Struthio camelus: one gene and its partners. The protein of the gene in region 2 purifies or fractionates together with the protein of the main gene of each other region. This does not show direct contact. Links are inferred from orthologs where the notes say so. Each region holds a gene or a part of one and is shown on either strand. Other genes may lie near its edges.

The links.
Region 1: the proteins of PARP1 (region 2) and POLB purify together in Homo sapiens (affinity purification with mass spectrometry; 4 studies listed by BioGRID and IntAct, counting the BioPlex papers as one, with this or other methods). This does not show direct contact. The link is inferred for Struthio camelus from reciprocal best matches to the Homo sapiens genes PARP1 and POLB.
Region 3: the proteins of PARP1 (region 2) and WWP2 purify together in Homo sapiens (affinity purification with western blotting; 3 studies listed by BioGRID, with this or other methods). This does not show direct contact. The link is inferred for Struthio camelus from reciprocal best matches to the Homo sapiens genes PARP1 and WWP2.

What each region holds. Positions count from the first base shown.
Region 1 is NC_090968.1:7,952,904-7,962,839, reverse strand, and holds the start of POLB (DNA polymerase beta), read left to right. Parts: upstream 1-5,458; 5' UTR 5,459-5,587; coding exon 5,588-5,648; intron 5,649-5,717; coding exon 5,718-5,775; intron 5,776-5,971; coding exon 5,972-6,038; intron 6,039-6,623; coding exon 6,624-6,698; intron 6,699-7,216; coding exon 7,217-7,275; intron 7,276-7,853; coding exon 7,854-7,903; intron 7,904-8,340; coding exon 8,341-8,392; intron 8,393-9,936. Other genes in the region: uncharacterized protein, read right to left, coding at 1-980.
Region 2 is NC_090944.1:125,658,273-125,667,656, forward strand, and holds the start of PARP1 (poly [ADP-ribose] polymerase 1), read left to right. Parts: upstream 1-4,208; 5' UTR 4,209-4,403; coding exon 4,404-4,523; intron 4,524-6,768; coding exon 6,769-6,931; intron 6,932-7,818; coding exon 7,819-7,937; intron 7,938-9,120; coding exon 9,121-9,335; intron 9,336-9,384. UniProt on the Homo sapiens protein: Poly-ADP-ribosyltransferase that mediates poly-ADP-ribosylation of proteins and plays a key role in DNA repair.
Region 3 is NC_090951.1:1,473,870-1,483,357, reverse strand, and holds the start of WWP2 (NEDD4-like E3 ubiquitin-protein ligase WWP2), read left to right. Parts: upstream 1-5,010; 5' UTR 5,011-5,099; intron 5,100-5,669; exon of another isoform or gene 5,670-5,816; intron 5,817-8,502; 5' UTR 8,503-8,517; coding exon 8,518-8,587; intron 8,588-9,488. Other genes in the region: RNA-binding protein NOB1, read right to left, coding at 1,283-1,552, 1,819-1,963, 2,149-2,246, 2,649-2,867, 3,019-3,150, 3,378-3,449, 3,539-3,672, 3,955-4,087 and 1 more. UniProt on the Homo sapiens protein: E3 ubiquitin-protein ligase which accepts ubiquitin from an E2 ubiquitin-conjugating enzyme in the form of a thioester and then directly transfers the ubiquitin to targeted substrates.

The sequences.
Region 1 (9,936 bases), on a different chromosome or scaffold from region 2:
CGGCTGCAGTACCGATATCTGGCCAGCCGAGGGCACCAACGAGCCACGCCGAAACCACTGCGCCTGCGGCCCGCCTCGGCTGCAGTACCGATGTTTCGCCAGCTGAGGGCACCAACGAGCCACGCCGAAACCACTGCGCCTGCGCCCCGCTTCGCCTGCAGTACCGATTTCTGGCCAGCCGAGGGCACCAACGAGCCACCCCGAAACCACTGCGCATGCGCCCCGCTTCGCCTGCAGTACCGATTTCTGGCCAGCCGAGGGCGGCAACGAGCCACGCCGAAACCCACTGCGCATGCGGCCCGCTTCGGCTGCAGTACCGATGTTTCGCCAGCCGAGGGCGGCAACGCGCGACGCCGAAACCACTGCGCATGCGGCCCGCTTCGGCTGCAGTACCGATGTTTCGCCAGCTGAGGGCGGCAACGAGCCACACCGAAACCACTGCGCCTGCGCCCCGCTTCGCCTGCAGTACCGATTTCTGGCCAGCCGAGGGCACCAACGAGCCACCCCGAAACCACTGCGCATGCGGCCCGCTTCGGCTGCAGTACCGATTTCTGGCCATCCGAGGGCACCAACGAGCCACGCCGAAACCCACTGCGCATGCGGCCCGCTTCGGCTGCAGTACCGATGTTTCGCCAGCCGAGGGCGGCAACGCGCGACGCCGAAACCACTGCGCCTGCGCCCCGCTTCGCCTGCAGTACCGATTTCTGGCCAGCCGAGGGCACCAACGAGCCACCCCGAAACCACTGCGCATGCGCCCCGCTTCGCCTGCAGTACCGATTTCTGGCCAGCCGAGGGCACCAACGAGCCACGCCGAAACCACTGCGCATGCGCCCCGCCTCGGCTGCAGTACCGATGTTTCGCCAGCCGAGGGCGGCAACGCGCGACGCCGAAACCCACTGCGCATGCGGCCCGCTTCGCCTGCAGTACCGATTTCTGGCCAGCCGAGGGCGGCAACGAGCCACGCCGAAACCACTGCGCATGCGCCCCGCTTCGCCTGCAGTACCGATTCTTCGGGCTGCAGTACCGATTTTTTGCCAGCCGAGGGCACCAACGAGCCATGCCGAAACCACTGCGCCTGCGGCCCGCCTCGGCTGCAGTACCGATGTTTCGCCAGCCGAGGGCGGCAACGAGCCACGCCGAAACCACTGCGCCTGCGCCCCGCTTCGCCTGCAGTACCGATTTCTGGCCAGCCGAGGGCACCAACGAGCCACGCCGAAACCACTGCGCCTGCGCCCCGCTTCGCCTGCAGTACCGATTTTTCGCCAGCCGAGGGCAACAACGAGCCACGCCGAAACCACTGCGCCTGCGCCCCGCTTCGCCTGCAGTACCGATTCTTCGGGCTGCAGTACCGATTTTTTGCCAGCCGAGGGCACCAACGAGCCATGCCGAAACCCACTGCGCCTGCGGCCCGCCTCGGCTGCAGTACCGATTTCTGGCCAGCCGAGGGCACCAACGAGCCACCCCGAAACCACTGCGCCTGCGCCCCGCTTCGCCTGCAGTACCGATTTCTGGCCAGCCGAGGGCGGCAACGAGCCACGCCGAAACCACTGCGCCTGCGCCCCGCTTCGCCTGCAGTACCGATTTCAGGCCAGCGGAGGGCGGCAACGAGCCACCCCGAAACCACTGCGCATGCGGCCCGCTTCGGCTGCAGTACCGATGTTTCGCCAGCCGAGGGCGGTCACGAGCGATGCCGAAACCACTGCGCATGCGGCCCGCCTCGGCTGCAGTACCGATGTTTCGCCAGCCGAGGGCGGCAACGAGCCACGCCGAAACCACTGCGCCTGCGCCCCGCTTCGCCTGCAGTACCGATTTCTGGCCAGCCGAGGGCGGCAACGAGCCACGCCGAAACCACTGCGCATGCGGCCCGCCTCGGCTGCAGTACCGATGTTTCGCCAGCCGAGGGCGGCAACGCGCGACGCCGAAACCACTGCGCATGCGGCCCGCTTCGGCTGCAGTACCGATGTTTCGCCAGCCGAGGGCGGTCACGAGCGATGCCGAAACCACTGCGCATGCGGCCCGCTTCGGCTGCAGTACCGATGTTTCGCCAGCCGAGGGCACCAACGAGCCACGCCGAAACCACTGCGCATGCGGCCCGCTTCGGCTGCAGTACCGATATTTCGCCACCCGAGGGCAGTCATGAGCACTGCCTAACAACTGCGCATGCGCGGCTGGTCGGCAGCAGTACAGATGTTTCGCCAGCCGGGGGCAGCAACGAGGACTGCTGAACAACAGCGCATGCGCCGCTCTCCGGCTGCAGTACTGCTTTTTGACCAGCCGAGGGCAGCAAGGAGCGCTGCTTGTTGCAGTATTGGTATTTCATCGCTTGAGGGGCACGATGGAGCCCATGCGCCCCGGGACGCACGCATTCCTCGACTGGCTGCACTGTTGGGGGTGTCATCACCCGAGGGCAGCACTGAGCACAGCTGGGTCAATGTGCATACGTCAATCTCCTTGCTGCAGCACTGGTCTGTAGTCTCCTGAGGGCAGCGGAGAGCAGACCGGTGCTGCTGCGCATGCGCGAGCAAACCGGTGCTATACTGACTATACCGACTTTTCACCACCCGAGGGCAGCAGTGAGCAACTCGTAGCGGATGCGCATGCGTGACTCCGCTGGCTGCAGTACCGAACTGCTCCCACCCGAGGGCAGCAGGAGTTGCTCTGCCGCAGTGCGCATGCGCAACCCCGCTAGCGAGGGTCCCTCCCCGCACTGCCGGCCCCTCCAGTTGGGCTGCCTCGACCCTTTCGTACCCTCCCCGCTGGGCACCTCTGTCCTGCAGGAGGAGACGGTGGTGGGGACCTCACGAGCCCCCCGTGTCCCGGCGGCGGTGCAGCACCGGGGCACAGCAGCACCGAGGGGTGGCGGCAGTGGCCGGGGTGCCCCGGCGAGCAGGCGGAGCAGTCCTCGGGCGGCGGGGTGCACCGGGTGGCTGCAGTCAAGGCCCAGGGCAAGGTCCTCACCCGGGGTGGGCCTCGTCCTCATTGGTTTATGGCAAGCGTGCTTACAGCCGCTTGTGTCTGGTTGGGGAAAACAGCCCTTGTTCCAGCTCTGCTCCTGACTCCTTTCCAGTAACTCCCATTGCGGTCTGCTGTTACCAGAAAAGTGATGGATACACTGCTATAAGAACTGCAACCCTCTCACTCAGGATTGATGGGAAGGATCCTTTATTTCCTTTATTAAAGCTTTACAGTTTTAACCTTTCTTCTGTCAGCTTCTTATTTCCCCAGTTTACAGTACCTGTATATCGATCCTGGGTGTTAGAGAAGGGAATTGTAGCCAACTTTGCCTCAGCAGAGCAGAAGTCTGATTCTTGCTTAGCCTAAGTGTCTAAAGTAGGTGAAACCTGCAGGCCGCAGGACTGAACTGTAACCCAAAGAACGTTGCTGACGACGCCACTGCAACATCAGCTAGAACCAGCCCTCAAGGATACAGACCAGAATGAACAGAGATAACGGCTGACCTTCGGATAAGATAGGGTACCGTAGAGCAGGAACATAGCAACCATCTGGCAACCATCCTGGGATGTAGACATGAACCAGTCAGAGGGAAAGAGACCACTGAAGAAGATTGGAAGAGACTTTCACTGGCAGGTGGGGAAATAAAACTGTAAAAAGGAAAATTACTTAAGAATTCTTTTGTTCTGGGTGCCTCCCTGGATGCACCCAGCTCGAGCTGTTACTTTGTTATACTGTTATTTAAATAAATAATTAATTTAGCTGCTGTACATGCGTGAGACTTCACTCCTCAGAAACCTAGGGCTGAACTGTTCCCACAACACTGGGGTTGCACTAATTGTGCCCTGTACACAAATTAACCTTAAATCATGCCCTATCCAGTCATACTTAAGGCTCTGATACCTCACTCTCACGCCTCTTCTTCTGTAGCTCTGCCCACCACAGCATCCTCCATGTAGGATAATACCTTTTCTATATTCTCTACAGGAAACTGTTCTAACGTCTCTCTGACAATAAGTACGTGTTATCGCAGGTGCATTGTGAAACCCCAGCTAGACCTGAGGAAAGGTATATTGTTTGTCTCTACATGTGAAAGAGAATCCGTAAATTCATTTTTCTTTAGTAAGGGGAATGACCAAGAAGCAGCTCTGTAACTGACAGACACTTGTTGTCATCTTGTCACTTACCGACAACCTTGGGCACACGAGGTACACAGGAGCTATCCTCCCTGGGACACCATGCAAAAATCCTGCTCGTGGGCCGGCCTGCCTCCCCACACCTCCAGGCCATCTACATCTACATCAGCGAGGGCACACACACAAGCCTGCTTTGGGGAGGAACCTCAACCCTAAAACCAAGATTTAAAGAGTCAAGTACTCATTCCAGGTACACCCTACCGTGTGCACTCATCGAGCAGAGCACTGCCAGGCCCCTGAAACCCCCCACCCTTTCCTCCCCTCCACCCATGCCTTCAGGTGGGCAGGAGAAATCCCGGCACTCGTAGCCACTCCAGGGACGCCCCCACCTCTCTGCCACGTTCCCGCACCGGGCTCTGCCAGCCTCCCCGCACCCCCAGGCTGTATCCGCGGGGGCGAGCGCACGCCTCGGCCCGCGCTGGGGAGGAACCGGGGCCCGAAAGGCGAGGCACGGGAAAAAGAAAGTCAAACCCGCGCTCCTGCTGTGGAGCCCCTCTGCTCTCCGCCTCCACGCAGCGACGGTCCTGGCGGGCAGGAAACATCCCAGGGCCCGCGGCCACCCGAAGGGACGCGCTCGCTTCACCGGGACCGGCGGCCCGCCCCCGCCGCTTCCGAGGGTAAGCGCGGCTCTGCTCGCCGCCATGCTGCTCCTGGGCACCGCGCATGCGCCGCCTCAGAGCGCGCCAGCGGCGGGGTGAGCGGCAGCGGGGCCGCTACCTCGAAGAGCGCCCTCCAGCGAGCCGGCTGGCTGCAGCCCGGCGCACTGCGCCCGATTGCGCATGCGCGGTATTGATAGCGGCTTTAACCGGTTGCTAGGAGAGCGGCACCGACCACGGCGAGAGCTCACTGCGCATGCGTACGCCGCCTGGCTACAGCCCCGCGTTGTGACGAAGCGCAGGTAGCAGGGACAGCGGTGCTGCAGTGCGCATGCGTGAGCCGCTCACCCAGTTTTTCCCCCTTGTAATCAAGAGAGGCGAGCAGCGGATTTCCCCGCACGAGTAGTTGCCGTGACCGTGTTGCTGCTTCCCGGTACTCACACATAGTCCCGAACGCACGGAGGCTGCACAGACCGCTGTCGAGACACGAGGCGGCACCAACGGGCAGAAACCCGCTGTGCCGTCGGCCGGGGAGCACCGAGAAGGGGCGGGAGCGCGGCCGGTTGCCGCAGCAGTACGAGCAACCGTGGAGCTCGGGCGGTCACGGCGGGCTGCAGTGCGCACGCGTCTCTGGCTGGTGCCGCGCCGAGGCGGGCGGCGAGCAGCAGGGGCCACGGTTTCTGACGTCACTGGCGACGCTCCGCCCTGGGGCAGGAGTACGCATGCGCATTGAAGGCGGCCGTGCTTTGCTGAGGTCACTGCCGGAAGCGCCGCGTTGCGGTATCCGGTTCTCCCCCCGCCGGCCGCTCTGGTCTCCCGCGGCCGGGTCCGCGAGCGTCCGGGATGAGCAAGCGGAAGGCCCCGCAGGAGAGCCCCAACGAGGGCATCACGGACTTTCTCACCGGTGGGTGATGACCGGGGCGTACGGGACTACGGCGGGGTTGGCTTGCTCTAACGGTGTCTTCCCCTGTAGAGCTGGCGAACTACGAGCGGAACGTGAACCGTGCTATTCACAAGTACAACGCATACAGGTATCGCGGCCCGCCCCCGCGCCGGGGCCTTCCCCGCGCCGGGGCCCGCTCCCCCCCCCCCCACCTCACTGCCTGTTCCCGGGATCCGGCCCACTCACCTGCGCCCCCCTGTCGCGTCGGAGGGGGGCACTGCTCCCCCCGACGGAGGTGGCAGTGCTGCTGCCTGGTTCAGTCGCTGACTGGTGCTGTTTTGCAGAAAAGCAGCCTCTGTGATTTCCCGGTATCCCAGCAAGATCCAGAGTGGGGCTGAGGCCAAGAAGCTGGTAGGTGCCTGTACCATGGTGGTAGGGCCTCAGGTTGGCAGGGGCTATGATGCCAGGGGCTCCTGGAAGGGGCAGGAGCAGCACGGGATCAACCCTGCCTGTGACAGCTCTGCTGCCCTTCCCCTTTCCAGTGATGTCTGGGTCAGGGCTCAGAGGTGGGCGTGGGGTTGGCTGCAGTGGGGAGTGCTGTAGAGGTTTCATGGCCGGAACTGCAGGCACCCGGTCCATCTGGCTGCAGCCCTACTTGTAAAAGGCTGCCGTTGGGGAAAAATTCCCCTTTATTCTGTTACTGCCCTGCTAACCTTTGGGCCTTTAGTTGTAAGAGTCAAAGCCTGGTTTCAAACAATTGCTTTCAGGAGACTTTTAATACAGCCCTTCATTTATGATGGTTGATGCAGCTTGCGTTTTACCATGGAGTACTGCACTACTTCATGATCTCAATGACCTCCTAATTCTTACTGGACTCTAAATTCTGTGTTGTAACTTCTATTGTTGGGTGTTTTTTTTTTTCTTAGCTATAGTGGCTATAAATGATTTGGAAGTTAACTTCTTGTTCTCCCCACCCCTTCTTCTTCCAATATTTAGGATGGAGTAGGTGCTAAAATAGCTGAGAAGATAGATGAGTTTTTATCCACTGGAAAACTACGCAAATTGGAAAAGGTGGGCTTCTTTCCTGTGCACTATACTTCACAATAGTTGCTTTTCTTTGCACTTTGCAAAGTAGCCTATTTACTTTGTGAAACTTTGGGGATTATCTTTGGCGAAACTGATGTCAAACCTGAGAATGGTGGATAGGGAATTTATGGGGAGTAGAAATTGGGGAACAAGAAGCTCAGCTGAAGCCTCAAAACTACCTGTTCCTGAAAAAATTTTGGATAATATCATCAGCATATGAACGTCTTCACAGTCTTCCGGATCCAGACTTCCATTTCTCAGAGGAGTTTTGAGTTTTAAATGTGCTGTTTACCTTAGCATAGGTAGTTAGGGCAGAGGGTTTTCAGGCTTGGTATCTATGGCGTTGCCATGGTGCACAATATTACTCTTCGTTCTGCTTTGCTTTGATTTATAGTAAGCCTCCAAAACAGAATCTGAATGGGCAGTATTATCTTCTCAAGTTTTTTGTCTTTATTGCAAGTGGAGTGCAGAAGGGTTTGGTCTGTGTTCTTTCATTTTTCCAGATTCGTCAAGATGATACAAGTGCATCTATCAACTTTCTGACCCGAGTTACTGGCATCGGGTAAAGCTTTCTCTTTGCCCCCCTTTCTCCCGCTTGCTCGCTCTTTGCACCTGCTTTTGGGGAAGAAAGGGCAACCGTTCACTTAAGTATGGTGCTAATGACAAACTCTCCAGCCAAACTGGAGTTTGGACTGCTTTGCTGTACTGTAGGCTGCAGGCCGGAGCCTCATTTCTTAAGTGCTGGTTCAAATACAATCCTGTTGCTGTGGCTACAATTTGGCTCAAAGACTGATTATGTTTAAAGTAGTCCTTATCATGCATGCGATTAGATCCCAGTGTTGTTGGCTAAAGCAATATTCCTTATTTGGTGAGGGTGTTTTTTTCTTTCTTTTTTCTTTAAACAATTGTATAGCACTATATAGTTGTATCAATACTAAAAATGTGCAGCCCAAGCCTTGGATACCCATCTCTGCTAACTGAAAGTACAGACTACAGATATGTGTGCCAAGTGTACGGCAAGCATCAGAAGTGACTTTCGTCTTGGTCTTGAAGAAGCTAGAGGATTATAATGAATTCTAATGTTCTATTCAGTGTTACGAGATTCTTACTGTTTCTGATTGCAAATTGGTCTCTTTGCAGTCCTGCTGCTGCTAGGAAGTTTGTAGAGGAAGGAATTAAGACTTTAGAGGGTGAGTGTATGTCATATGCTGTCTTTGGGTCCTCAGTTCACACTGCAGTATCACTTCTTCTGTCCAGCTGCCTGTCTCAGAGTGGTACTGTGATAGCAATTACATCTAGTTTTTGATGAAAGCGCTTTAAAAAAATAAAGTTATTGCACAGAGTGAACGCATTATACCTTCCAGAGTAAGATGCTTACAGACTTCACAGAAAACAACATGGATTTTGTCACACAGACGAATGGCCTGTTGAAGTCAGGCTTTATCAGACAGTGCCGCGTGCATTTTGACTTACGCTGTCAGCTGTTGACCAGGCTGCCATTAAAATGTTTTAGTTGGTCTGTGAGGTAGCTGTTTTGTTGCACGTTCTTCACTTGCGTCATCTTTGTACTGTAGAAATCTTACCATAAAACTTTTAATACTTGAATTTTTTTTTAATATTATTCTAGATCTAAGAAAAAATGAACACAAGCTGAACCATCACCAGCGAATTGGGTTGAAGTAGGTTTTCTTGGATGCAAGTTCTTGGCTTTTCTAATGACTCCTTTCAACACTAGGATGTAATGTAAGATTACAGCGGCCAAGTAAGGTTCTGTCTGTGTGCTCTACATGCTTTTCAGAAGTTCAGAGTTTTCGTTTCATTGGAGTTGAAATTCATAGGCTTAATCTCCATCTAGAAGGGAATTATTTCCAAATGACTTTTCAGTTGGCTCATGGAGAAACACTTTAGCAAGGTTACATCAGCAATCTGTTTTGGAAAGAGCCTGCTATCTCAACACAGTGCTACGGAAGTGCCCTGAGGCGTTTTTGTCACGCTTTGTGCAAGGTAGAGCTTTTGCGATGTCTGAACTTGAGAAAGCCATGCAGAGCGTGTGCTTTTCTCTCTGGACTTACTAGTTCGATTGTCGCTTGCCAAGTGACTGCTCCACTGTGCTGGTCCTGGAAGGACTATAGCTGGGTTTGCAAGAAGCTGCAAGTGAATCAACTAAACCCTCATATAATCTGGTTGGTTCTGCCAGCTCATATATCTGGTTGGGGCCAGCTCTAGTGTTTCTGCGTCAGTGGCAGAGATGCAGAATCCGTGACCTGGACAAACTTACACCAGTGAGTAACAAGGGCTATGCAGTGATTGTCATTTTCCTGCTCTTTATCTGATAGAGTCCTGTTCTGGTGTGCATCCCTGTCTTTATAGACATGTAGCATTTAAGGAAAAACTTTTTTCATTGTTAAGCGAGCATGAGATAACCCAGCTGATCTCTCCAGGATCCCTACATGTTGTTAGTGCCCTTCAGCCTGCTCCTGGAATTGTACTCAGGTCTTGTTTCAGAGCCACCCGAAAGTACTGAGCTGTAAGAATGGTTTTAGTGCTGTATGGTCTTTTTGTCCCTAGTTGTGCTGCAACTTGCCTGAAAAAAAGCAGTTAACTTGTCCCATATGCAGAACCCTTGTCTGTAGTGCTTGAAACTGGACTGGCTGGATCATGACTGTCAGTGGATATGTAGCGCTCCCAGGCCGCAGTGCTGCTGCCAGGGCTTCCTGTCAATGGTTCTGGTGTTGGTCAGGCAGGCGGTACACCATTGTTTCAGTTGGCCTCTTTTCCTCCGAAGTCACATTATACACTGGCAGTTTGTTTTCTACAGCTCTGTGCGTAGATGTTTCAGAAGCTCTGTATTTGGCTTGTGAGCTTCTGTTTGGATTTTGGCAACTTAGGTCACCTCTGACCAAGGGTGAGTGACCTTTTCCTGCTTATTGCTGATGGATTGAGTTTTGTGAACTACCTTTTGTATTTTTGGAGAGCTATGTAAATGTAAACCAGTTGATCATATGGTAGTATAACTCCCATCTCACAGCAGCTCTTCAGATACAAGGCAAAATTATGCAGTGAAGCCATCTTCTAAGACCTTCAGTTGCAAGTTTGCCATTGCTTTGCAAGGTGTTGCTTTCAAGCTGTCTGTGGTGAGAAAGGGGAAGTTTATTTGTGACATAACAGTAATATAATTTGTATTGTTTTTCTGATATGCATTTCACTGAGTAAAAGTTTTAGA
Region 2 (9,384 bases):
ACTTTGAACAGACATTTGTTACAGTCGTTTCCATTGCATGTTTTCATGCTTGCGTGCCTGCAAATGGCTGGGGCTGTTTTTCCAGACCATTTTATGATATGTTATGGACCCCCGCTGGCCTCTAGAGCGCAGGTTGCGGAACAGCGCTTTGGCTGTCAGACACTGCTGTCTTTCCCAAGAAGTGAAAACGGCCGCTGCAGCAGGCAACACCACCAGGTAGTTATTTCTCTTTTGCTGGAACCCCGTAAATAAATACCGTATAAACTGAAGGGTATTTTGAGGGGAACTGGACAAATTCATGGAAGAAAAATTCCCCTCTGGACGATGGTATGCGGGAACTCCAGCTCCAGCTCAGGAAATCCCTGGGCCGCAGCTCTCGGGAGGCTGGGGAATATCTGGGGGCGTTTGCACCGCTCGCTTGCCTGTTCCTACATCTGCTCCGGGCAGGCGGCCCCTGCAAGAGCTGAATGGCCCGAGGGCTTGTCTTGGGATGGCTCTTGCCGGTGAACCCTCCTTTGTGGGTAATGGGCATTTCTCTCGGAAAAGCCTGACAGAGCTGGGCAGCAGTACGTTTGCCGAATGTTGAACGTTTGCATGTGGTTCAAGAACCTCTGCAAAAAGTAATTTGAAATGTTTAAGCTTCTAGTGTGGTAAGCGTGTGAGCCTGACTGTGTGCGTGCAGCACCATCTACTGTATTACAGAGATTTTGGTTTTCCTCCTTCCCTGGAAGCGGGGCAGCGTGTGTGCTCAGCGCACATCTGTACCACAACTGCCATGCCCAGCACGGCGCGAGCCCGTGCCTTGGCGGAGGGCTGACTGGGAAGGCAAACGCTGCCTATGTTCACAGCAAGCGTACGAAATCCTTGGAGAGGGAGCGTACGCAATGAGGAGGGCACATTAAAATCTGACCGTACAGGCTTGCGGAGGTCCGGCTGCGACTCACACCTGTGAGCTGTCTGAAGCCCACGTGGGACTAAACATACTGCTTTCCTTGAACCCGCATTCAAGAATCGCTGTAAAACTCATGAAAAATACTTGTCGCGGGTTTGCAATAACTTCAGCGCTCTCCTCTCCCTCTGTCCGCTGGAGATACAGTACCAATGCCCTCTGCCGACATGAGAGGATATTGCCTCCCGGGATGTTGCCAGAAGAGATGGAAAGGCAACGCTTAGCTAAACCAAAGCGCCCTTTGGAGCCTTCTTCAGGATCTGTACCGTTATCCCCAGGGACCTGGGCAAGCTCCTGTCTGGGACTGAAATCACCTGGCCAGTATTTGGCTCCCGGATACCTGCTAAACACAAGCTCTCCCACCACCTATGAAGCCCCTTTTCACGGCAGGGTCCGATCTGGACGGAGCGGCTCTTTCACCAGAAGGAAGGGGTTTTTGCAGCCGGGGGGAGGGAAGCGGCCACGCGGCCAATTGACAACCTCCAGAGCTGCCCGCATGGCCAGAAAGCTCCCTGCACAAGGCGAGGCGGGTGGGGATCAGCCCCTCCATGATTGCCGGCCCGCGCAGCCCGGTCGCAAGGACGCAACGGTCCTGTCAGGTCGGAGCAATAACCCATCCGGCTCAGCAGCCTCTTTCCACCGGTGGCCGCCAGCAGGCGCCTAGAGAAGAGTTGAAGCAGATACGGAGCGATACCCCCTTGGGAGATTTTCTCAGGATGCCAAGATTGGTAACTCAAGATCTTCCTGAGCCACAGGCGCTGTCCTTCAGCGGAGGTCCTTGCTGCTGCGGGTATGCCTAATGCCGCCTTCCCCAGCCCGCGCCAGACGTTAGCCTCCACCACGTCCCACGGTAGCGCGCCCCACGCGTACGCGTCGCTCGTCTCAACCCGCCACCTGCGACCGCCGGGGAGCTCGCGGCGCTTGCAGCAGCCAGCGACCGCTCTGCCGGCCCTCTCCTCGCCGCCGGCGAGTCCCGCTGCCTCCTCCTCGGGCTGCCGAGCCCCGTACGGGCGCCCGCCGCGCCGCCGCACGTCCTCGCCGCCCTCGGCTAGGCCTTGCCCGCTCTGCCCTGTCCCCGAGGGGCGCAGAGCCGCCCGCCGCGACCGGCACGTGGTCAGGGCCCGGCACCGCAGCGCTGCCGTTCAACCCGTCAGCCCTGGTGCTGCTGCTGCCAGGGGGCCGCCAGCCTGCCGGAGGGGCAGAGCGGGGGCCGCGCGCCGCTCCTCTCGCCTGCGCGGGGGGGACGGCCCGTCCCGGCGACAGGAGGGTTTAACGGGGGGCGCGAGTCCTCGCTGTGACCCCCCTCTTCTCAGATTCGCTGTCTGCAGAGCGGCCGGCGGACACCTCCTCACCTTGGTTATTCGGGATGGCGGGGCGGCGGCGAGGGGCGGGTGAGGGTTACGGACAGGCCAGCCCGGGCCAGGGTCTGCCACTGTCGGGGTCGTCACTGGGGGCTGGGGGGCGCATACCTGAGGGGGACTTTTGCTTTTACGCGGAGGCCTCGAAGCCACCTCATCAGCATCTTCTGCGAACCGTAGGGACCGCGCCAGGCGGTTTTGTTTCGACCTTAAACCCTAACGCGTTATGATATCGTGTCTTCTTCGAGGAAGGACCGTGCACCATGTTTGAGTTCGACTCACCAGCTACAAGTCTATCGCTTATCGTCCTGCCTTCGGTTACCAGGGAGGAAAGCAGGCGGTCCCCGGCCGGGACGTCTCTTGCAGGACCGCGCGGCCGCCGGTGAGAGGCACCAGCTCCGCCGGGCGTCCGGGCGCAACCGGAGGGCTCACGAGGAGAACGGCAGAGGGCCACCAGACGGTTCGGCAGCCCCTCGGCCGGTGCTCTGCCTCTCCCTCCTCGCGCTCGGCCCCCCCGGTGAGTCCCACCGGCGCCCTGTGCTGGGCTGCAGCACCCGGGGTGCTCCTGTCCCCCCGGGGTGCTCCTGTCCCTCTGGGTGCTCCTGTCCCCCCCCAGGTGCTCCTGTACCCCCGGGGTGCTCCCGTTCCCCCCAGGTGCTCCTGTCCCTCTGGGTGCTCCTGTCCCCCTGGGTGCCCCTGTCCCCCCGGGGTGCTCCCGTCCCCCCCCGGGTGCTCCCGTCCCCCCCAGGTGCTCCTGTACCCCTGGGGTGCTCCCGTCCCCCCAGGTGCTCCCGTCCCCCCCAGGTGCTCCTGTACCCCCGGGGTGCTCCCATCCCCCCAGGTGCTCCCGTCCCCCCGGGGTGCTCCTGTCCCCCCGGGGTGCTCCCGTCCCCCACCCCCCCCCCGTGAAGCGTCGTGGTGACTCATCCTCCAGGCACAGGACCATCGGCCGGACCCATGGGTTCAGCCTCGAGGCGTTTCCCGCCTCGTCGCCTAGAGCATGAACTGCCAGGGGGGCAACCAGCGCGTTGCCCCAAGTTTGGGGCAAGCCCGGTTGGGGGGGGGGGGGCTCTTTCCAGAGGAGAGGTCACAGAAGCAGCTAAATCCTGTTGGCCCGCCGCGAGGTGCAGCCGCGAGGTGCAGCTCGTCCTCGGCCGCTCAGGCACCACCGCTCCCCAGGCCAGCGCAGGGGCAGCCCGGGCCCCCCCACCGCCCCCGGTCCCATGGGTGCAGCCCCAAAAGCGCTCCCGGGCGGGGGGCTCACCCGCACCCCCCCCCACACACACAGGCAAGCACACCACACACTCGCACACACGCTGACACGTGCACACCCCCCCACACACACGCATGCACACACAACACGCTCGCACATGCACGCCCCCTACACACGCGCACACAGCACACCCAACTCGCACACACGACACATGCCCGCTCACACAGACACAGGCGCACCCCCCCCACACATGCACACGCTCGCACGCGCAAACAACACGCGCAACACTCACGCGTGCACACTCCCTGCATGCAGGCAACCCCCCCACACGCGTGCACACCCCTACGCACACTCACTCATGCACACTCCGCACACACATGCACCCCGCCACACACACACTCCCCACGCACGCACACCCCCACACATGCACACACCTCCCCCACACGCACGCACCCCCATGCACAGTCCCACATGCACGCACACCCCCACACGCACCCCCATGCACTGTCACACACACACGCACACCCCCCCACATGCACACCCCCTACACATGCACACACCCCCCCCACATGCACACCCCCATGCACAGTCACACACACCCCCCCCACACGCACCCGCCCACTCCCACTCGCCCCCTCCCCCTTCCCCGCCGCCGCCACGTGACCCGCCGCCCCCCCGCCCCGCCCCCATTGATACAATGTAGCAAAGCGGAACGTTCGAGGCGCCACCAGGCGCGCCGAGTCGACGCCCGAGCGGTGGATCCGACTAGGCGGCGGAGGCGGGGAGGGGCGCTCGGCGCTCGGCTAGCGCACCCGGCGGGCGGAGGGACGGGCGGACGGACGGAGGGACGGGCGGACGGGCGCGGGTCGTGTCGGCGGGGGCGATGGCGGAGCCGGCGGAGAAGCTGTACCGGGCGGAGTACGCCAAGAGCGGCCGCGCCTCCTGCAAGAAGTGCGGCGAGAGCATCGCCAAGGACTCGCTGCGCCTCGCCCTCATGGTGCAGGTACCGCGTGGCGGGGCCGGGGCCGCGGGGCGGCGGCGGCTGAGCCTCTCTCCGCCCCGGATTTATCGGGGGGAGGGAGGGAGGGAGGGAGGGAGGATGAGTGCGGCGACTTGCGCGGCTCGCGGGGGCTGCCCGCGCTGCGCACCGCGCCTGCGGAAGGAGATAAAAATAAACACACAAAAAATAAACCAAAAACCCCCCACCCTTTCCCCGCCCCCCTTTTGGGGGCAGGCGGCGGCGCGCCCAGCTTCCCCCCCCCCCCCCAGCGCCGGGGGCGTGCGCGGCGGGCCGGAGGAAGAAAAACAGGGAGAAAAGGGGAAAGAGCAGCGTCAGCAGCCGTGGCGCCCACCCCCCTCCCCACCCGAAACCACCCGTCCTAACCGCCTGCTTGCAAGTCGTTGTCCCCCCCCCCCCCAAAAAAAAAAAAAACCCAAAACTGCTGGTTTCATGTGGTCCCTTCTGCCGCGGCTCCCTCTGCCTGCTCTGGGCCAGCAGCGCTCCTCGGACCGTGCTGCCCCTCTTCCCGCCCCCCGGGAAGCCCCTCTCGGCCCCTCCGTCAGCGCCTTGCGCTCCTGCTGCCGCGGAAGAAACCCGAGGCAGGCGGCAGCTCCCGCCGCGGCCCCCTCCTGCTGCAGCCGTCCTCGCCTTTGGGGGCTTTCCCCCCCAGGGAGCCCTGAGCCACGCCGGGGGGCCCGGCGCTTGGCGGGGTTGCTGGCACCCGGTGCCGCAGCCTCAGCTCTTGTCCAGCTTCTGCTTCCAGCTGGCACTTAGCAATTTGTGTTATCTGCACGTGTGACGAGAAAGCACTCCTGGCTCCCCTTTTTTCCCCGAAGCTTGTTTAGGAAACTGTGGTCTGGAGATAGGTGCGCTGGGAGAAGCTGAGTAAACAAGGTCGGGCTCGCCTGGAGGTTTTGTTTCCCAGGCGGAGTGCAGTTGTGCTCCAGGCGCTCGGCGGTAGGGGAGGGCTCCCCACCGCTCGCGAGGTTGTCCCCAAGGGTCTGTAAGCTCTACCCCCTCCTGTGCACCCCTGTGCCTTACCCCCCCCCTCCCCCCCCCAAAGCCTTCATGGGGGGAAAAGGCTGTGGCTTGACTCTGGTGCCACGAGGGGTCTACCACAAAAATGCTGGGTGCCTTTTCTGCAGCTAAGGGATGGCCAAGCTGTGGTGTCACGGGGGGTGCGTGAGGCTGCCCAGCACACCGAGAGCAACTCCCACGGGGCTGCTGTGCCCTGAGGTTACTGTGCCGTCCAAATCCCTGCTCACGGGAGGAGCCCGGCAGCTGGAAACGTGAATGCCCTTTCACGGTTTTGGCGGGAGGTTAGGTGGTCATCCAGGGCTCCTGGCTCTCCTAGTGCCATGCTGTGATCCTCAGAAGCCCTTTCCTCCTCCGTCCTGCTCGTGGGCAAAGCTTTGCTGTTGCGTTTGGTTCTCCTGTCCGTAAGTGGTACGCAGAAGGCTTTCCTAGTTCATTAATTCTGTATCTTTAGTAATAAAAATAATAGTACAGCACTGTGTGTTATTAATACAGCCATTGTTTGTGTACATCCCTCGGAGCCAAACCGCTAAGCCGTTATTTTGTCTGATTGGTAACCGGAACGATGTCGGGTTGGTACTTGATGTGTCTGAGTCATGACCGAGCAGCGCGCTTCCCCGGCGAGGCTGGTACAAGGCAGGGTGCTCTGGATTTGCTCTTTGGGGAAGGAGTTAGGTTGTGGTTCTGTCCTGATGCAGAACTTCTTTGGACTGTAATGTTGCTCTGAAGTTTTGCCTCTGCCTCCTGCAGCTCCCTAGGCAGGAGGCTGTAGTGGATAAATCCCCCGGAAAACAGCGCTTGGCTTATCCACTGTCTTTGTTTCGATTGCTCATCCCTGCCGATGGCCTGATTCTCATTGAGAAGAAACCTCTCCTTGTCTGCTCAGGGTTGGTATAGCCCTGCTGAGGCTACAACCTTTTTTTTTTTCGAGTAATGTGGAAGGGCTAAACAATAGGGTGACAAACTGCTTAAGCTGGGTAGACTCTCTTTCTGCATGTATCCCCTTTGAGTCCTCTCCCCAGGCACCTCGTCTGTCACGTTGGATTTTCTTCCTAGGCTTTGTCCTAAATTGCAGATATCTTTTTAATTGGAAAAAAAAAATTACTTGTGTTTACCCAGATATTTCAATTTTTATCTCCCTTCCCCCCCCCTCACCCTCCCCATGATGCTGTCTGACTGGCTTCATCTTGGCCTAATTTTACTTTCTTCCTAGTCGCCCATGTTTGATGGCAAAGTCCCTCACTGGCATCACTACAGCTGCTTCTGGAAGCGGGCTCGAATTGTGTCCCATACGGACATCGATGGCTTCCCTGAGCTCCGATGGGAAGATCAGGAGAAAATCAAGAAAGCCATTGAAACTGGAGGACCTGGAGGAGGTAAGCAGAGGTGGTGTTGTGATGAGGCCAAGCAGGTGTTCAGAGGTTCAACAGGAAGCGTGCTTTCTGTTGTCAAGCTATTGACAGATTACAGTTAGGTGATTACCCTGTCCCTTCAGGAAGTGAGGTGGGCAGAATTGCCATGGTGACGGCGCACCGCAGACTAGGAAGCTGGCAATATGGTCTAGCCTCTGAAACCAGCAAGGGAAAAACAAGGCAGTTGGCAGATGCATTGACAGATATTCTTGTTTTCATGCCTGGTGTATTTTGGTTTCAGTTCCTTAACGTTAACAAATGCTTTTGTAGTGTGTCGTTTTAACGATACCTTCACTGTAGCACATGGCTATCGTGGCTCTTCCGTATTGTTGCCCGGCGAACTAATGAATCAGGGAAGCGAGTGGGAAGGAGCTGGGTACAGAGCGGACTAAATCCACCCAATCTTTATATAAACTGAGCATACTGGGCAGTTTTAGATTGATGTCTGCCTGTTGAAATGTAGTAATACTAAAGTAAAAGGAAACTGGCACTTGGTAAGAGGAGTTCTGTTTTGAAGCATGGCTATTTGTGACTGCTGTTACAGTCAATTCTTCAGTAAGATCTCATTTCATACTACTTAGAAAAGAGGTCAGCTCTGGGTACCTTGGAAAGTCCTCAAAAATCCTTTGAGCAGCCCTCAGCAATTGCTACTTGCTTAAACTCTTCATGCTTTAAAAGTGCTTTTGAGCATGGACTGATTATTTTACTCTGTATTCACATTCTTGACAGGTGGTTTGCTGGAACACAGGGATTTATTAATCCAGACTGCTAACAATCTGGGACAGAGAATAATAATAACTTTACAAAAAGGCCTTTTAAAGCCAAACTCTGTATTTGCCTTTGCCCTCTAGGAAAAGGAGGGGACCAGGAAGTAGGTGGCAAGGCTGAGAAAAGCCTAAATGACTTTGCTGCAGAATATGCCAAGTCTAACAGAAGTACTTGCAAAGGCTGCGAACAGAAAATAGAAAAGGTGAGGAGCTTTTCCTCGTTCTCCGACTTTTGTCTTTTCTCCCGCTGCTCCCAGTTCAAACAGTGACTTTTATAATTGCTTCCTGCCTGCCTTGCCTATGGAAGGCACTTGCAGAGTTGCACTTCTGTGTGTAAAGAGCAGCTGTGTCCTGGACAGCTGGCAATAAAGGCATCCCTCAGGCTGGAGCCTGGGTTTTGGACCTGCTGATATGGGGGTGTTTTGTTTGTTTGTTTGGGTTTTTTGTTTTGCTTGGGCCTGGGACCAGACTGCAGCGCTGCTCACCAGCGTTTCTGTGGCAAGAAGACCACCACAAACTACCTTTTGCTTGTTGGAGCATGTCAAAGGTGTCAGCCTCTTCCTCCTCCTCCTCAAGACGAGTTCTGTTCGTGTGCAGTGTTTCTGTATTACCTCGGTGCAGGCATACAAAACTAGTGATGCAGCTCATTAACACCGTGTCCTGCCCTATAGCTGAGCATGTCTCAGCGCTCTGCTTTTAAACAACATTGGCAAAATGAGATTCTGAGCCTCTCTGTACTGATGGATGTGAACGGCCCTCACCTGTGCAGGTCTAAACACCGGTTCTGGTGTGTTCCTGTCCGCAGAAACATTGCAACTGCTGAATAGACATACCTGTACTGGAGCGTGAAGGACTGGAGTCTAAAAACACCTAAAACAAGTAGTTATCGGAATCTGAAAAGTACTTTGCAGTAAGATGAGACGGGAAGTTCACAGCTCTTTGGATCTTGGTAGTGCTGATGCTCAGCGTTAGGGACGTAAAGCTAGCTTTTGGAGTTCCCTGCTTAGAGTTTGGTCACGTGAGCTTTGCTTGTTCAACTTTACTGGGAGTCAGGGAGTTGAGTGAGTGAAGACTGCAAGGAGTTTACCTGTTGGAGGGGTTTATTGAGCAGAAAACTACTTAAAAGGCTGGATTCTCAACTTTACCAAAGTTGAGAATCTCTTTCAAATTGAAGTATATATGGAAAAATTCAATCCAGAAGAAATATTCAAGAAAGCAGAGGAGCTTAAGTGACGGGGCTTTAATAAAAGTTACAGCTGTAGATAGAGGAAACATTGCTGTTCTGCAGCTGTTCAGGAATTACTTTATTTGTGATGAGCTTATTAACATCTTGTTCTTCCTAGGGCAACCTAACGATTGCTCTTGTGTCACTTTAACCTGCCTCAGGGCCAGATCCGAATTTCCAAGAAGATGGTGCATCCTGAAAAGCCGCAGCTGGGAATGATAGATAACTGGTACCACCCGGACTGTTTCGTGAGCCGCCGAGCAGAGTTGGGCTTCCTCCCGACGTACGGGGCCGCTCAGCTCTTGGGCTTCGGGATCTTGAAAGCTGAAGATAAAGAAACTCTGAAGAAGCAGCTTCCAGCTACCAAGAGCGAAGGGTACGTAGGGAGTATGAGAGAGCGTTACCTAAAGGTACTATTACTTGTC
Region 3 (9,488 bases), on a different chromosome or scaffold from region 2:
TGTTAATACTATTTTTTTTTTAAACATCTTACTGTCTTTGAAAAGCTGCTGCTCTTGCTGCATGTTTGGTGGATAACCAAGTGCAGGCCAGCTTATTAAACTGGTACATATGTCATTGCATGACCTGTTCAGCGGTTGGACAGCTGCTCACAGGGGAGCAAAATAGGTTTTCCTGGCAAGCACTAAGCTTTCAGCATGTCACTTGAAAAAAAAAAAAACAGAATTTACTGGAGCTCAAGATGCAGCTCTAGTTCCCAGCTTCTAATCTGCAGGTACAAAAACCAGCAGGTGAGGCTTATTGTCCACAATACGCAGCTGTCAGATGGTGCAGCATCAGGAGGAGCCGGTGCGGGAGCAGGGCCTGAAACGTTCGCTCTTGGACATGGAGTGTTAATGGCACAGCAGCCCGAGCCGGCTGAGGCCAGGTGCTTTCTGTCCCTTTGGGAAGCATGCTGTTCCCCGAAGGTCTCCCTAGCCCTCATGAGCATTTAGCTAATGACAAAGTGTTTAGCTGACGACCATGCAAGGCAGCTGGCCCCAGCGCAATCGCTGGCTTCTGCTTGTTGCGCAGAGCAAGGCAGCGGTGTCTCCAGGAGTTTGGGAAAGCAGCTTTAGCAAACCTGCCTTCGTCCAGCACAGCACCACCACCACATCCTCCGCTCTTGTGGCTTATTAGTTGTGTTCGCTGCTTCCCCTCAGCTGGGTGTAGACACTGTTGCTGGAGGGCAGCAGTCTCTGGGAAACAGGGAAATCTTTCAGGCCTGGCAACAGCCCTCCAGGCACCAGTGGGGCTGAGCACTGCTCCTCCCTCACCGGGGCCGTGGCACCTGCTTCGCTCCCACCCGCCCCGCAACCAACCACGACAGACCTGTCCCCTTCAGCGTGCAGCAGGACTGAGCCACGACGACTCTGCTGTTTGTTTTTATTAGAGGCAGGCGACGCTGCCCTTTGCTGCAGTGTCTTGGGAGACAAGCCGGAACGCTAAGGCCGTGCCCTGCAGGCTAACACCCCCGTCGCAGCACGCTGGGTCTGGCGGACAGCTCAGGTGCGAGGCCTTGTGAAACGCGACTATTGTTGTCCCCAGTCACTGGCTGCTCTTCACACATCCACAGAAACTTAAAAGGAAAGGCCCAGCCCCTTGTCCTGGGCAGCTGCCTTTAGAACAGTTCGAGGAAATGTCTCATCCTCCCAGAGCTTCAGGCACGGGACAGTAATGTGCGTAACAACCTGGGCGACGGCCCTTCCCTCACAGTGCAGGTGGGAGAAGGCCTTGGCCTGCCATTCATCTCCTTTTTACAAACTTCTTTGTCACAGCATTGGGGTTCAGGCGCCTCCTGCCAGCACCGAGGGCAGCGTCTCGGATTTGCAGATTGGCTGCACGGCTGTAGATGTCGTTTTCTGCAAAGGGAGACACCCCTGCAATGTAGTCGGGGTCAAAGACGTTGGTCTTTTGCCTAGCTTTCCGGGACAGCCGCTGCTGTGGGAAGGGCTGGTCTTCTACCAAGTGAGGGTTGTTCGCGTGCTTCCCACCCTGCGGAGCCGGCAGCGGATACTGCGAAGAGAGCAGAAGTTGTTACACTCACTTCAGGGACAACTCTCCCTCAGAGGGGCTTCAACATTCGACAAGTGGCCTAGCCTCAAGCAAAGAACTTGGTGAAAGAAGCCTGAAAGCCTCTGGGTTATGCGGAAGGTCTAGAGGACGACTGCAGCTCTGCCTTGACTCTCGCCCATCAGTGGGTCCCACCCGCTCACCGGCAGCGGCAAGGAAAGCCCTTGTTCCAGCAGCAGCCGGCTGGCGCGTCGCGCACGGCTACTCACCCTGAGCCCTCGTGGGTTCAGCACCTTGGGGTTGCGGGAGAAATGCATGTGGAGGCTCCCGTCGTCACTCACGCTCACTGCGACCTTCTTCAGAGTCTTGTTACCACAGTGAGGACAGAAAACCTTGGTCATGTCGGAAGTTGTCCTGCAGGACAGTGACAGAGGTATTCCACAGCCCAGGGAGCAGTAAACCCAGGCTTAGCCCACACGAGCAGGTTCATCCAGCCACGTGAGCCAGGTCAAAGCCCTGAGCCACTTTAAAAGGCCAGAGGAGCCCTGAAGGGCTCCTGCTAGGGAGGAGCAGCACTTCTCTGCGCACACAGCACTTACTTGAAGCAGCCGTGGCAGCGGAGGATGTGGCTCCTGGCCTGGCGGATCAGCATGCCATTCACTGCCAGCACGTGGAGCCCCATCTGCAGCAGCACGTTCTGCAATGAGGAGGGAGAAACAGGGCACCATGAGGTGGGACTGCCAAACTGTTTAGCCCAGGGCTGACTGTCCAGGTGGCAAGAGGCCACCAGAAGCAAAGCAAACAGGCTCTGCAGAGGCTTCTGCTGTAGACAAAACCAGCTGTTTTTAACAAAAAGAGAGCTGTCACGAAGCTGCTCTCATCCTGTTCCAGGGATTCAGCAGTGCACTCCTCTGTGGCAAGTGTCAGCGTGCTGCTTTAGCCAGCCCAGGGGTGTGAGCAATCCAGGAATCTGCTCCTCAGGCCACCGGTGCCAGCCCCCTTCAACCACCCATCTCAGCAGGGGAGGTGCAGCACCAACAGGGCATCGGCCGAGCTCGAGGCTGCAGCCTGCCCCTGCACGGCAGCCACCAGCACCCACCTGCATGGCGAAGTCAGTGGTGACGCAGCCGACCTGCACGCCAGCGGGAGTGGTGTCACAGTGCCCCGTGTCCTGCTGAACCTGCTTAATGTTGCTGGGCGTTATCCAGCCTTCGTCGTCGCTCTCTTCCTCGTCTTCCTCTTCCTCAGCGCTGTCCCCGTTCTCTGGACTCTGGTGCTCCTCAGCCGCCTCTGGGCTAACGGAGACGGCGTGAGCGTTCTGGGGGGGCAGAGACAACTCAGCCAAGGCCCACAGCGCGCCCCCAGCACCAGCCTGCTTGAGGAGAGCTGTCTGGCAGAGGATTTGGGAAAAGCCAGCTGGAAAAGGGGAGAGAAAGCACAGAGAGGGGCACGGACGCTCCGAGTCTCACCAGCAGCTCCTGCAAGTCCTCCTCGATGCTGGGCAGGGGGTTTCTCCAGAAGAGGAAGGAGCTGAACTCGGGGCTCTCAGCCGTGCTCCTTTCGGGGCTGGGCAGACGCTGGCCTTTTCTCAGGTGCTTGTGCTGCAGCGCAACACAGGACAGGGTGTCCCTCGCCTGCAGCCTGCCCAGGGACTCTGCAGGGCTTCGTCCCTGTCCCCTGGAGGGTCCCGGCCCCTGCCCGCACCTCGGAGGGCTGCATCCCTCTCCCCAGCCCTCACCCCAGAGGAACGTGTCCCCTGCCCGTACCTCGAAGGACTACATCCCTGTCCCCAGCCCTCACCCCAGAGGGTCGTGTCGCCATCCCTTACCTTGGAGGGCAGGTGGAAGCCAGCGAGGTGCAGGGGGGCCTCGGGGTGCTGCGGGGTCGAGCTGAGCTGCACCTGGGGAGGGAGCGTGGCGGGTTGGCAGGGCTAGAGCTTGCCACGGCAGCGGGGCCCAGCCCCACAGGCAGCCCTGTGTCTGTCCCTACCTTGTCCTCGGGCTCCCGCCGGAGCCGGTCAGAGCCGACGATCTCCGCCTCCAGCTGGTAGGTGAGGGCGAGCACTTGGAGGTCAGTGGCCGAGAGGCTTGGGTAGTCGCCGGTCTTCTTGGCGAAGTCGGTCACTGCGGAGAGACGGCCGGGGTGGCGGCGGGGGCCGGGCCGGGCCAGGGGGGGACCGGGTCAGGTCAGAACCAGGCTGGGGCAGTGGGAGGAGGTAGGGACTGGGACCAGGTTGGGAGACTGGTCAGGGAGGGGTGGGAGACACTGGGATCCAGGCTGGGGGTGGGGGGGAGGCAAATCAGGGCTGAGACACTGGGGCCAGGGCTGGGGGGTGGTGGGGGGGAACGAGAAACAAAGGGACCGCAGACGGGGAAGGGGGGGGCGACACCAGGGCCGGGGCTCACCGAGCCGCACGTAGTCGGGCCGCGGGCGGCGGAAGTGCAGCTCGTAGGGCAGCGCGGCCAGGCGCCGCCGCGTCGGCTTGTCGCGGATCTCAGCCACCACCTCGGGCACGGTGTACACGCTCTGCGCCATCTCCTGCCGGCGCAGCGCCGTCAGTCCCGCTCCGCCCCGCTCCCCCCGGCCCGGCCCGGCCCCGCCGCCCGCCCCGCTCCCCCCGGCCCGGCCCGGCCCCGCCCGGCCCCGCCGCCCGCCCCGCTCCCCCCGGCCCGGCCCGGCCCGGCCCCGCCGCCCGCCCCGCTCCCCCCGGCCCGGCCCGGCCCGGCCCCGCCGCCCGCCCCGCTCCCCCCGGCCCGGCCCGGCCCCGCCGCCCGCCCCGCTCCCCCCGGCCCGGCCCGGCCCCGCCGCCCGCCCCGCTCCCCCCGGCCCGGCCCGGCCCGGCCCGGCCCCGCCGCCCGCCCCGCTCCCCCCGGCCCGGCCCGGCCCCGCCCGGCCCCGCCGCCCGCCCCGCTCCCCCCGGCCCGGCCCGGCCCCGCCGCCCGCTCCCCGCGGCCCGACCCCGCCGCCCGCCCGGCCCCGCCGCCCCGCTCCCCCCGGCCCGGCCCGGCCCCGCCGCCCGCCCCGCTCCCCCCGGCCCGGCCCGGCCCCGCCGCCCGCCCCGCTCCCCCCGGCCCGGCCCGGCCCGGCCCCGCCGCCCCGCTCCCCCCGGCCCGGCCCGGCCCCGCCGCCCGCCCCGCTCCCCCCAGCCCGGCCCGGCCCCGCCGCCCGCCCCGCTCCCCCCGGCCCGGCCCGGCCCGGCCCCGCCGCCCCGCTCCCCCCGGCCCGGCCCGGCCCCGCCGCCCGCCCCGCTCCCCCCGGCCCGGCCCCGCCGCCCGCCCGGTACCTGCAGCGGCGCCGCGCGCAGAAAGGCGCCGGCGTCGGCCACGACGTGCGCCACGCGCGCCATGACAGCCGCCGCCGCCGCTACTGACCCCTACGGCGCCCCGTACCGCGCCGCGTCGCGCCGCCCCCTGGGAGCTGTAGTCCGCGCGGGGCACGCCGGGAGCCGCCGGCCCGCGTGACCCTCTTCCGGGCCGCGCGGGTCAGGTGACGAGCGCGGGTCACATGACGGCGGTGCCTAGAGCCGGAAGTGGGAGCGCAGCGGCCGCCGGTAACGGGGGTGGCGGGACGGCACCGCGGGCGGAGGGGGGGGGGAAAGACGCGTCCGCCCGGCGCTGCCGCCGCGCAGCTCGGCCCGGCGCTGCCCGCGGCGCTCCGCCGAGCGTGGCTCGGCTCGGGGCGGCCCGCTCCGGTGCTCTCCCGGCCCGGTGCCCCGGTGCCGCGGCCGCTGGCGGGCAGGGCCGCGCGCTGCGCTGCGCCCCGGGCCGCGGGGAGGGGCCCGGCCGCGCGTCCGGCCTCCCCGGGGGGCCGGTCGGGGCTCACCGGCGGGGCCCCGGTGCCCGCGGAGGCGGCTGAGGGTGCCGGTACCGGTACCGGAGCCGGTGCCGCCCCGCGGTGCAGCGGGGCCAGCGGTGTCCGGGGGAAGCGCGCGGGGAAAAGCTCCCGACGTGCTTCAGGGAGGGCGCGAGAGGAGACGGGGGGCGCCGGGGCCGAGCGGAGGGGAGCTGGACGCGGAAGGGAGACGGGAGCGAGGGGCGGTGCACGAGCCGGGAAGGAGAAAGTGGGGGAAAGAGTCGAGATTAAAACAAAAAAAAAAAAAAAAGGGGGGGGGAGAGAAAGGGAAAAAGAAGAAGGAGGCATAGCCCAAACGGGCGGCGGGTTTGTCGTCGCCATATGTGGGCGATGGCCTGGGGGCTCCGGCCGTCGGCCCTGCGCGCTCCGGCGTGGCGACAGCACCGGCTGGCGAGGGGCGATCCCTGCGCGGGAGGTGAAACTGCAAGCGGTTAACGCTGCCAGATTGCCCTCCTGAACTCTGGCGGAGTTCAGCTCGGGGCGAGCTGGCGCCGGGACGGGCTGGCGTGGGGTGGGGGGGGGGGGAGAGCAGAAACAGGGCCTGTGTTTATGGGGGGAGGAATGGGGATCCAGATTCCTGCTAGAGGGGAATGAGCCCTGGGTAATAGTAACTTTGAGGGCCAGACCGCTAATATTAATGTAAGAAATGCCCTACAGGGCAGGCTCGCAGGTCCCTCTAGCCCCGTATCTGGTTGCAGGCGGTGGCTGTTTGGGAAGGGCACATGAGTCTGGCTGGTTTTTGTGGTCCTTGCGAACGGCACTAATGAAATAAGCTGGTAATGCAGAGGTGGGGACTCGCAGCAAACACGAGGAATAACGATATCCTAAGGGAAGGACAGGGTGATCTGTGGGCAGAGTAATTGGAGTAGGAATAACTGTAATAATAGCAAATGCAATTAGCTTCATAAAAAGACCTCCTTCCACAAGTAAATTCTTATCCGTTGGGAGTGAGGGGGAAGGGACAGGCATGCATTAGCAAGCCTTGACCCACCAATCTGACAGAGCCAAGAAAGCGGCAAGTCTGATATCAGAGCTTTCCCAGGCAGAAACGGGGACTGTGCAAGGCCCTGGCGAGGCCTCAGCTGGCGTACGGTGTGCCGTTCTGGTTTGCCGTGCTCAGGAAGGCGATTTCCTGCTGGGGTGGCACACAGAAGGGGATGGAGAGTGACGACTCGGTTCTACTACAAAAGGAGGTTTAAAAGGGACTGGTCAGGCTTTGAGGTGGAGCCTGCTAAGGTAGAGCAAGGGCCTGGGTTTGGTGGCCTGGCCGACTCCGCTAGCCCCAAGGGGTTGTGGGTTGTGCTGTGGTGGTTTCTCCAGCAGGAAGGCAACGCTTGGAGAGCCTTTGCAACGTGGAGGGGGCGATGGCTGGGCGCGGAGTGGACGGGGAAGGAAAGACTCCTGTGCAGCAGAGAAGCTGGCAGAGAGCTGGAAGTGGAAATGTGCTGTCTTTCCCCTTTTTGTACTTTTTCCTGAGGGCTCGTGATCATCAGGGTGGAGGTAGGATGGAGAGGCTGGCGGGGACTCGAATCCAGAGCTGGTCAGGAGGCGTGCTTTCGGCTTCGCAGGGTTGGGAGGGCGATCGGGTTTGACTCAGTCTGAGCTCTCACTGCTGCCCCAGGCAACAGAATTGAGACTCTTGTGTTCACATCTGCCCGGGGAATAACCAGCGAGCGCCTCCATCCGTCCTGTTGTGTCGGGTGTTTATGTGGGCAGGCCCCTGTGGTCTGTGACCTTGGAATTTACTGCAGGCGCCGCTTCTCTGCCACAGGATTGTGTTAGTCTGGATTCAGCAGGTCCCCTCTAGCTCTTCTGCCTGTGAAGTGCGTAAAGGATGACTGCTGTCTGCAGGCTCAGGAAGATGGTGGGAATCAATAGCCTACTCTCTTGGGCCCAAACCAAACAACTCGTGCTTGTGCATGCTGCATGACTGTACTTCTGCTTTGTTGTCGGTTGTTTCGGCAGAGGCGCAGCCACGTGTTCTGCTGCGTCCCTGGCCATCCCAAGTCCCCTTCCTGCCCAGCCACGCGCTGCCCGCTCCCAGCCCCGGGCAGGCGTCTCAGAGGCGAGGTGCGCAGGTGGTGCAGGGGCAGGGTGAAGCGCTGCGGCTGCAGTGACAGTCATTGTGCCCGAGAAAGTGAGGAAGTGGTGAGTGCTTGAGAAGCTGGAGGCCCCAGTTTCCTGTGCTGCAGCGTGATCCTTTGCAGCAGTTGAGAGCAGCTGTGGTTCCCATCGCTTAGCTGCTGCGCTGCAGGGTTTTAGGTTTTTTTTTTCTGTGAAATTTTGCCACCAGGAAATGACCTGGCCTGTCCTCAAGGGATGTGGCTACTTTCCCATAGTGTGACCGGAGCTTCCTCTCTTCTACCGCAGTGTTCCTGACTTGTTCCTTCCAAAGGATGCATTGGCTGAGGCCGCGCAGACTGCTTGTGGACCCGTATTGTTACTCAGCAGCACGGGGTGGACGTCATATCTTCCTAGTGCTTTGGAGACTGCTCTGTCTTCGTGCTGGTCGTGATCAGCAATGACCTTTGGATCGTGGGGAGCTAGAGCTGCTCCAATGCAGTGCCCAGAGAGCACCTGTGGGGTGCTGTCCCCAAGGGCTCCCCCTGGCTGGCCCGGCTCTCTTGAGGCCTCGTGGGTGCTGTTGAGAGAGGGGTTTCTCTCTGCAGGGCACAGCTTTACTTCCATCTGTGGTACACAGTTAACGTTTAACAGGAGCGAGAGGCAACGTGTGTTTATTAGCTATTTGCATGTGTGCCAAGGGTGTCCCAGGCGGTCTGCGAGGCCTTCTGAGCTGGAGTCGGTGTGGCGCTGACGTGGCAGCAAAGCCTTTGGATGCGCCCGGGAGGAACTGGCCCCCTCCCGCTGCCCTGTGAGCAACAGGCAGCACCGAGGGCATCTGCAAACCTTCTCAGTGCGGCACCTCCCAGCATGGGCCGCCGCTGTTCATCGCTGAACCCCGTGCCGTCTGTGTCGCTCATCCTAATACGTGGGCCACAGCGAGGCCCGGAGCAGCCCTGACCCTGGGGCCCCACGCAGCCTCGACTTCCTCCCTTCGATGGCGGAGGTGCTGAGGTGTCTCATGTCTCTCTGCTTTCCAGCCCGTCGGTGATGCCATGGCCTCTGCGAGTTCCAGCAGGGCCAGGGCAGGGCTGCCCTGCGAGAAGTCCCAGCTCTCCGTGAAAGGTGGGTCCTGCTGCATCGCTGGAGGTGGGGCCGGGAGCCCAGCGTCCGGGAATGTGGATTTTCGAGTGCATCTGGTCCTGGATTCCTCCGTGCTGGCCTCGGCAGCCAGCAGCTCCTGAAGGGAGGAGATGTTCCCGGGCCTGTGCTCTCCCTGGGTGTGGGAGACCTTCCTGGGGAGGGACTGGGTGCTGGGGAAAGCCAGCACCACCTCTGCAGTCGGATGCTCCATCCTGATGGAGAAATAGTGAGCTTCCTGGGGTCCGAGGAACCGGCAGCCCTTATCAGCACGTGGATCACAGCCCTGGGCACGTGGCAGCTGGGGCAGGGTCTCCGACCTTGGAAGAGGTTTATCTAGGGAAATGGCATTCCAGCTGCCCATCCTGGCCTCATGCTGAGGGTAGTGCCGGAGCCACCGAGGGTGACAGAGGAAGGACACCGTGATCTTGGCCTTCTTCCACGTGGAAGCTCCAGAGCCCTCTCTGGGTGTCCCTGGCGCTGGAAGCCGTTGAGAAGCAGAGTGGCTGTCTGCTGAGCAACACCTCCTCCTCTTTACTTTGCTGGCTGTTGGGCTGTTGCTCTGTAGCTCTGCTGGGGCCATGTTTGTGCTCCCATGGCCACGAGATGGCTCCAGAAGGCCAGAGCTGCGTCCCCAGCTCTGCCTTGCACAGTCCTTCTCTGCTGGAGTGTTGCCTTGCCCTTCGGGAGCACATTGCGTCCCTCCTGGGAGACTTGGAGGCTCACCTGAGTGGGCGCCTCTCTCCTAGTTGCTGTGGAGAACCCCCGTTCTCCCCGGCGCGTTCGTGGGAGGCGTGGGGCCAGAGGAAGGCAGCGTGCAGGAGTCGGTGCCTGGGAGCACCTGGATCCAGCCACTGCTGCCATCGGGAGAATTGCTTCCTGCTCC